Mus musculus: one gene and its partner. The protein of the gene in region 1 binds, or shares a complex with, the protein of each later gene. Links are inferred from orthologs where the notes say so. Each region holds a gene or a part of one and is shown on either strand. Other genes may lie near its edges.

The links.
Region 2: the proteins of Lrp6 (region 1) and Dkk1 are in contact, whole or in part, in a crystal structure (PDB 3S8V), measured with the Homo sapiens proteins. The link is inferred for Mus musculus from reciprocal best matches to the Homo sapiens genes LRP6 and DKK1. Residues at the interface, in NP_001401174.1 of Homo sapiens: Arg639, Glu663, Ser665, Ile681, Tyr706, Glu708, Thr724, Arg751, Trp767, Gly768, Gly769, Pro771, Val790, Gly791, Arg792, Asp811, Thr812, Asn813, Leu814, Pro833, His834, Phe836, Trp850, Ser851, Tyr875, Met877, Arg1184; in NP_036374.1 of Homo sapiens: Glu185, His204, Phe205, Trp206, Ile209, Gln218, Val219, Thr221, Arg224, Arg225, Ser228, Gly230, Leu231, Glu232, Ile233, Phe234, Arg236, Ser258, Leu260.

The regions. Positions count from the first base shown.
Region 1 is NC_000072.6:134,564,114-134,568,051, reverse strand, and holds the start of Lrp6 (low-density lipoprotein receptor-related protein 6 precursor), read left to right. Parts: upstream 1-1,138; 5' UTR 1,139-1,354; coding exon 1,355-1,409; intron 1,410-3,938. UniProt on the Homo sapiens protein: Component of the Wnt-Fzd-LRP5-LRP6 complex that triggers beta-catenin signaling through inducing aggregation of receptor-ligand complexes into ribosome-sized signalosomes.
Region 2 is NC_000085.6:30,546,697-30,550,987, forward strand, and holds the start of Dkk1 (dickkopf-related protein 1 precursor), read right to left. Parts: upstream 2,801-4,291; 5' UTR 2,684-2,800; coding exon 2,438-2,683; intron 2,251-2,437; coding exon 2,082-2,250; intron 1,017-2,081; coding exon 867-1,016; intron 743-866; coding exon 489-742; 3' UTR 1-488. UniProt on the Homo sapiens protein: Antagonizes canonical Wnt signaling by inhibiting LRP5/6 interaction with Wnt and by forming a ternary complex with the transmembrane protein KREMEN that promotes internalization of LRP5/6.

The DNA.
Region 1 (3,938 bases):
GGGGGCTCCTTTTTTTCTCTCAGACCTGTAACCCCTCCCCCTGAAAAGACATGTTTTATTTTCTCTTTGCTGTTAGCTACTAAGGATTTTCTCTCTCAGTTTAGAAAGCTTTAGTCCTTGTCAGCTTAGTTCACAAAAAAAGGTCTGTATTTCTTGGAAGGCAATAAACAAACAAACAAAAAACTATTGTTTTTTTTCTTTAATTTTTTTCTTAGTTTATATTTATTGTATGTAATGATGGATAAGATTCAAGCACATAATTTTCTTTTAACATGTGTGTGCCTCTTCCCCCAACATTAGCTTCACTCTTTTTCCCAGATAGTCATACTTTTATTTTCTTATCATCTATGTGTTAACTCATATATAAAGGCATTTCTACACACACACACACACACACACACACACACCCCTAGATCCACATATGAGGGAAACTTGTCTGAGTAAGGTTTACTTATGTGTATACAATCCCACAATCTTTGTCTTTTCCCCATGTGTGTGACTTTATGTGTATATGTAAAGCAGGCTCCACACTAGGAGAAAAACATACTTTTTTTTTTTTTTAAAGTCCGAGTCTGGTTTATTTTACTTCCTATGATGAGGATTCTCAACCCAGTCCACTAGCGATGTGCTCCGCGTTGGCTTCTGCACACCGTTCCCCTGGCCCGCCGCTTCGGGAAAGCGTAAGCCGCAATGGCACTTTGATTTTCCTACGTCCCGGGGCAGCCCCGGGGTCCGCAGCTCCACCTGGCTCGGCGGCCGGGCGCACAAAGAGCGGCGCGGGCGGCGACGGGCCGGGACGCAGAAAGTAGTCCCGACCACGCCGGCCCCAGTGTCGGCCGACGTCGCCTCACGCCCTCCGCCGCCCGGGGAAAGAATCCCATCGGAATGCGCCTCGGGAAGACCTTATCCCCGCAGCGTGCGGGGGCTCGCGAGGCTCAACCCGCGGGGGCTCTCCGGGGAGTCGGCGCGCGCGGCGGTCGCGGCTCCCGGGGTCCGGCCGCGGCGCGCTGAGGACGGGGGTGGGGGGAGTCGGGCGCGCAGGGAGACGGCGGCGGCCCCGCGGCGGATCCCTGCGCCGCTGCGAGAGGAAGAGGCTGAATGAGGCGCCGCGCGGGGGACGTGGGGCGCCGCGGGAGGAGGCGGCGGCATGGGGGCAGGCGCTGGCGTCGCGCGAGCCCGGGCCGGAGCGGCGCGCTAGAGCCCTGACGTGCGCCCTTTTCTTTCTTCTCGCGGCCGCGGAAAGCATGAGCGTGCAGACCCGCCGCTGCGGCGGCCGCCCCGGCTCCTCGCCCGCGCGTCCCCTGGCCGCCGGGCGCCGGTGAGGGCCGCGAGCGCGCGCGGTGGTGGGGGGAAGATGGGGGCCGTGCTGAGGAGCCTCCTGGCCTGCAGCTTCTGCGTGCTGCTGAGAGGTGAGGCGAAGCGAGGCGAGGCCGGGGGAAAAGTTGCCGGGGTCCCGGGAGGGGGAGGGGAGGTGGCGGGGACAGCGGCGGGGACAGAGGCCTGGCGCTGGGGAGCCGCGCGAGGAAGGGGCCCGCGGTCGGGGGCCGCGCCCGGCCGCCGCGCACACCCCTGGCCGGCCCCGCGGCGCCGCCGGACAAAGCTGCGGGCCTCGGGGGGACCCCTGGCCCCCCGCACTCCATCGGAATGACTGACGGTGCCCGGCTCGCCTGCACTCGGGGCAGAAAGGGGCTTTTGTAGTTGCGCTTTCAGCACCATTGGTGTTGACCTCCCTCTCCCTCGAAGCCTGAGCTCACCTTTCCCGTGTCTCTTAGGTGAACTTTTTTCTTCTTCTTTAAACCCCACTATTTTTTTTTTCCTTCTCCCCTCTCTAGGCCTTGTTACAACTAATAATTGTCTTCCGCGGGGATAGAATGGTCCTGGGTGAGAGCACAGTTGGAAATTGACTCTAGGGTGATAGGTCGCGCTTTTCAGCATTCGGGATCATCTGAGCCCATAATAAAAACACAAACGTTGCCCTCGTAACCCCTGGTATTCAGGACTCGCCCCCTGTTTGCGGAGTGTGCAAGTGTACAGTTGGCACCAAGTAGGGAAGTCATCCTTGTGTGGCGAGGAGCCTATCCTGGGAACTAAATTATCATTTGCTGGGCACCCCTGGGAACTGCTTGGCACTTTAGTAAATAACAGAGAATGCCCTGGGTAATTTGCTATGGGAATCGCTTAAACGTAGTGGCTCTGTGGTGTTTTGAATTTGGACTGTGAGGCTGAGACGTACGTCCTGACTTTTTGTTGTGTGACAGTTTGCAATGGAAACCTTGTCGACTGGTCTTCAGTTGATGAGCGATGGGGGCTGGTGCCATGGAGAGTGTTGCCTGTGCAAGAATTGAGGTGCTGTTTGACGCCGTATCTTGTTGTTCGCTTTTGTTAACTTACCTGTGCCAGTTAATGGGACCTCTCTGGGATTCTTAGTTATTAATTTAACAAGCTCAACGTTTAAGTCCGTCAGAAGTATGGAAGTTTGCAAAGTAGGATAGTAACTAACAATCTTATGATGTAAATGGGACAGCCTATCATCTATGCATGTGTGTATTTGAATAAGACTATTTGCCTTAAAACCCCCCCACCATTTTCTAAAAATAAGCGTATCCCGAATTGTCTAGTCCTTTTTGCAAATACCAGAAAGATAATTGCTGTTTTAATTTCCATGGCAGAGAACTCAATGTTATTACTCAAGAGATTTAATAATCAAGTGTTTATTTTGTTATAGTAAACTCTACATTGAAAGATTTTGCTGTAGCTGTGAGAAAGTTGTTATTAACATGTGAATATGATTGACAAGTTCATAAGAGTTAAAATGTAGAACTAGTGGATTGATTTAGAGTTGGGAAAGTCTAAATCTGTGACTTCTGATGGCTTTAGCGCCTGAAAGTCCAGCTGCCATTCTTAGAGGGGACATAGGACTGTTTGTTTATTTTGATAACAGGTTTGAGCCTAGAGTTGAGTAGATTCATGCATGAGTTTGGTTTAGAGATGGTGAAGCATGATATTGTGTGTAACAAGATCAAGAAGAGGTAACTGTCCGAAGTGGAGCTTATTTAAATGTAATACAATAATGCTAAGGAGGTCTTTGTTTTTCTGTTTAGCATTATTTAATTGTGAGCATATATCATTCCAACTGAAACTGTCTTTTTGGTGTAAACGATTCCTAATTTAAAGTTTCTTCACTTCTTGGCACTGTTAGCCTCTGTTATAAGTGACAGTCACCCTTGGTTTCCCAGGAGCAAAGTGTGATTTAATTACTTGTAGTTCCCAGAAGAGGTGGTACTTTTACTTTGGGTTTGTGATGATGTGTGACTTTGGGACTTTGTACCTTATAGCCTTGTTTACTCACCAGCAGTTGAAGGTCATTTAATACTGCCATCGCTAGGCTGCACCCTGTCCTAGTTACCAAGTGACAAAGAATATTGGGAAAAACTTGAAAGTTGAGGATTTTAGCACCATAGACTTGAGTTTAAAGCTAGATCTTCATTATTTCTGCTTCTGGTTCTCTCTGTCTCAGCTTATCTATAAAACATGGGTAATAATACCTGTCTGGCTGATTTGCAAGGGTTATTAGGTGTGTTTAATGAAGTAACATAGGAGTGCTTTCCAAATATTAATTAAAAAGTTTTAAAGACAGGATCTTTCTATGCTGCCCAGGCTGACCTCCAAGTGCAACTCAACTCTTCTCCTTTCCCAACCTCCTGAGTGTGGGGGTCACAGGCATGCCTCCCCATATATGGCTATAAATAGTGTTATTTTTATATGTGAAAATTTTTTTTTATTATTTATGGATGTGTCCTCAATTGTTGGTGATTAGAGATTTAATTTGTTTAAGATTCAAGAGTGCTTAAAGTAGATGATATTGTTGTCATTTGTAAGAAGTTGGGGCACAAAAAAAAAGTTGGGGCACTCTCTGTCAGCTAGTTCATTGTAGAGCA
Region 2 (4,291 bases), on another chromosome or scaffold:
CACATCTCAGGAAATAAACTGATACTTTCATGTTAAATTTTAGATGCCTATCACCGACTATTCCATTTCTCCTTACATTCGACCCCCTAGACATTGAAGCAGAAAGGGTTACACATTTAAGAACTGTAAACCAAAATTACTTCAATATAGAATATTTATGAGTCAAGACAATCAACCGTGTACAAAAAAAATTTACATGCAAGAGAAACAAGGCAATGTAGCACACCTCTAGAAAAATAATTAAAAGTTTTGCTGCATTTACAGGTAAGTGCCACACTGAGGATTTACAACACAGTAATTTACTGCAATCACAGGGGAGTTCCATCAAGAAACAAAGTCCTTACACTCCAGAGCTTTTGGAAGGTATTGTCGGAATGCTTAATTACACACTGAAGATTCCTACATCCTTGGGATTGAGCTGACAAATCATAAAGGATTTTCGTAGCATATATTAGATAAAAAGAGTCCATCATATTTAGACTGTCGGTTTAGTGTCTCTGGCAGGTGTGGAGCCTAGAAGAATTGCTGGCTTGATGGTGATCTTTCTGTATCCTGCAAGCCAGGCCTTCCCCGCAGTAACAGCGCTGGAATATCTCCAGCCCGTGGGAGCCTTTCCGTTTGTGCTTGGTGCACACCTGACCTTCTTTAAGGACAGGTTTACAGATCTTGGACCAGAAGTGTCTTGCACAACACAGCCCTGCGGCACAGTCTGATGATCGGAGGCAGACGGAGCCTTCTTGTCCTGTGAAGGAGACAGAAGGAAAATTACAGTTACTGCGAGGCCTGTACCATCCCACTGAGACAATTCTAAATGCACTTCTGATATATTAAATGGGAAAGGCTGAGCCTGAAAGCCCCTTTACTACCTTTGGTGTGATATATTTTTGAAGTCAGTGTGGTTCTTCTGGGATATCCATCCCCCGCGGCGGCGTTGTGGTCATTACCAAGGTTTTCAATGATGCTTTCCTCAATTTCCCCTCGAGGAAAATGGCTGTGGTCAGAGGGCATGCATATTCCTAAGAAAACCAGAAATAGTGATTAATCCTCAGGCTGTAGTTTGTTGCTGCTAATAGCCAAGACAGGAGCAGTGGGTTATACAGACACCACTGTGAGTTACCTCACTGCTGTTGCTGCCTTTCTATTTACCAAAACTCCCCAGAGAAAGCAGTATCAATGAGTGTACTGTCGAATCGTATGGAACGCCTCAGGTATAGCCATTTTAAATGCTTTCCTACTAATTGTAGTGGAGGCAGTAGAGACTTTTCTGTCTATTTTAATATTACCCTTTGGGCTAGGAAAAAGAAATCCAGTCACTTAAAAGAAATTAATCTTAAAAAATAACTTCTCTGCTCTGGGTGCTAGCTGCGCAATGCAGTTCCGGCTGCCTGGAAGACTGCGATCTCACCCGCTAGTTACTTTACTGTATAATTTTGATATTACGGAGATTTTAGTGAGTTGACTCTGGAATGCTGCTGTAACCTAGGAAGTTAGCCACCCCTCAAGTTTATTTCTGGAGACTTCTTTGAGACATTAACATTTTGTGGATCTGTGGTTGTGTGTGTGTGTGTGTGGGGGCAGTACTTCTTTGAAGGTAGTTGAGGGTGGAGGGAAAGGGGAGAAGGGATGGAGAGCTAGGGGTGTAAGCGGTACAGAGATCTCTTTTAAAAGCTGGCCAGCAGAGATTAATCATTCTAGCTCCCCGTTGACAACAGTTGTAATAGCCTTAGAGGAAAGAGAGACTGGCAAAGCCACGCAGAGTCCACCTTAAGAAAAAAACGTCTGGCTCCCCTTTCAGAACGACCTCTCCCCCTTTCTCAAGTGCCCCAAGGCTCCCTGAAGATAATTGTTTGATGGAAGGGTCCACTTTCAGGTCTTGTTGTTAGATCACAGAGGGAGGCAAGGAAAGATAAACTTTCAAGTGCTCAAACACAAGCCAGTGACGATGTGTCAGGAGAACCCTTGCATGAGCACGCGTTTGCAGGTGGCGCCACCTTAGCTTTGACAGAACCAGAGCATTTCATTTGATTCCTGGGTCCTCAAAGGCAAGGTGGTTCTAATTTAAAAAGGAGTCCAAGACTCACCATTTTTGCAGTAGTTCCCGGGGCAGCACATAGCGTGCCTCATGCAGCGCTTCCTGCGCTTTCGGCAAGCCAGACAGATCTGTACACCTCCGACGCCGGCTGCCCCGCGGCTGGGGCTGGAGCAGTACTCGTCAGAGCCGCACTCCTCATCTTCAGCGCAAGGGTAGGGCTGTGGGAAGGGAGCGGACTGGTGAGCAACTCAAGCATCCTGGTACCCACACCTTCAAGGTCCCCATCTGCCTCTTCAAAAGCCCCTTAAGCGCGCTGCTCTTAATGCAGTGATTCCAAACACACCCCAAATCTCACACACCTAGATCTTTCTGAGACCCCCGTCGGGATCACAGCACCCCTCTTACCTGGTAGTTGTCAAGAGTCTGGTACTTGTTCCCGCCCTCATAGAGAACTCCCGGCGCCACACTGACAGCAGAGCCCGGCTGCCCCCCAGCACCACCCAGCGGTGGGGGCAGGTTCTTGATCGCGTTGGAATTGATGAGAACTGAGTTCAAGGTGGCACTGGCTCCTAGCAGAGGGAGGCTGCAGAGAGCCATCATTGTAAACACGGCCAAGAACCGGACAGCTGCCGCTGCACACACAACCATCATCTCCGAAGGACGCAAACAGGCAAAGGTCAGGAAAAGAGAGGTCACTTTGCACGGCGGCTGGCTGCAGAGTCTGGACTGCGGAACCTCAACTTCGGGACCTCCGCTGGTGGAGTCTCTGGCTGCCAGGCGCACAGCTCTGCACCGCCACCGCCACCTCTGGCTGCCTTTATACTCAGGCTCCCAGCCCTCCCAGCTCCTCAGGGAAGACAACAAAGCCGGGATGGGATTTCAAAGCTTTGGGAGGAGCTGGGAGGGGGAGTGTTTGTGTGTCGGAAGCAGGGAGGACTTTGACACTCTCCCCTCGCCCCTCCCTTGCACTGTGGTCCCCTTGTCCAGCTCACCTTAGAGTGTGGGTCACTAGAGCACTAGAGCATTAGAGCCTAGCCCAAACTTATAAATAAATAAATAAATAAATAAATAAATGGCGGGAGGGTGCACTCTGTGAGCTTGAGTGTTCTGCTGTGGGGCTGGGTTAGTTCTGTCTGAAATCCTTGTCAGAGTTAAAAGTGATAGAATATACAAAACCACGTTTCTTCTCTTCCCCATATGAGTACCCTCGCTTTCTGCGCACGCAAATAATATTCAGTATTAAATACAATGCGAGCAGCCATTCATCAAAGGTTTTGTGAAAAGCCCAGGTGGCTCCTATAGTTGCTGATTAACCCTTTAGCGTTGCGATTTGCAAATGAGGTTCTTGTCTTTTAAGTTTGTCTAGTTGCTTCCCCACTTCCCACTCCCTCCCTCCCCCCACCCAACCCTACACACACCAGGAGAAAAAAAAATGTGCAAAGACAAGAAAATTTGCACATCAAATGAGGATGCCAAGGGAAGAACTAATTCGCTTTTGATGGTGAGTTTGGGGGGGTTGGGGGTGGAGGCGAGAGACTGCCGTTTGGAAATTAAATCAGGGATGGAGGGGAGAGGGAAATAGGCACCCGATAATCAAACTATTTAATGTGGTTCTTTGAATCTGGTCAATCCCAGCAGTAGATGAACTTGATTAAGCAGACACATGAGATCAAAGTGGCTCTGAGCCAGAGCGGACAGGGTCCCTGAGCCTGGTCAGTCCTCTTTCCCTGGTTCCCTGTTCCCAGCGGTGGGTTAATAGAAGAAGATAAGAAACCCGAAGGCTTAGCTCCCGGCTTTCTCATTAGTGTTTCATATCGCTGAGCAGGAGAGGGCTTGCTTTTGATCCCAAATCAAACCTCGTCCAGGACAGGACAGGACAGGAGGAATAACCCTCTAGGGAGATAACAGAGGACCTCCTGGAAAAGAAGTGCTGAACCTAAATCAGAGAATGAATTTGAAGGGGTTTCGCCCAGTGTGTAAAATAAGAAACAACATGGACATAAGAATGCCGTGCTTATAAATTAGCGGTAATGTATGTAATAATGACTTTTATTAAAGTCAGTCTTTTATCCAACCATCACAGTGCTAAAAGAGACAGTTGTCATGAAATAACAAAAGATAAGAAATGTGAATGGATAATGTTTAAGAACAGATCGATAAATCTGAGACCACAAGCAACTGTTGTATGAGACTGAAAAGGAAGAAATGATCTGAAATCCTTGTTGGAGAGGGTGAGCTGAGATGTCCTTTGTAGCCCCT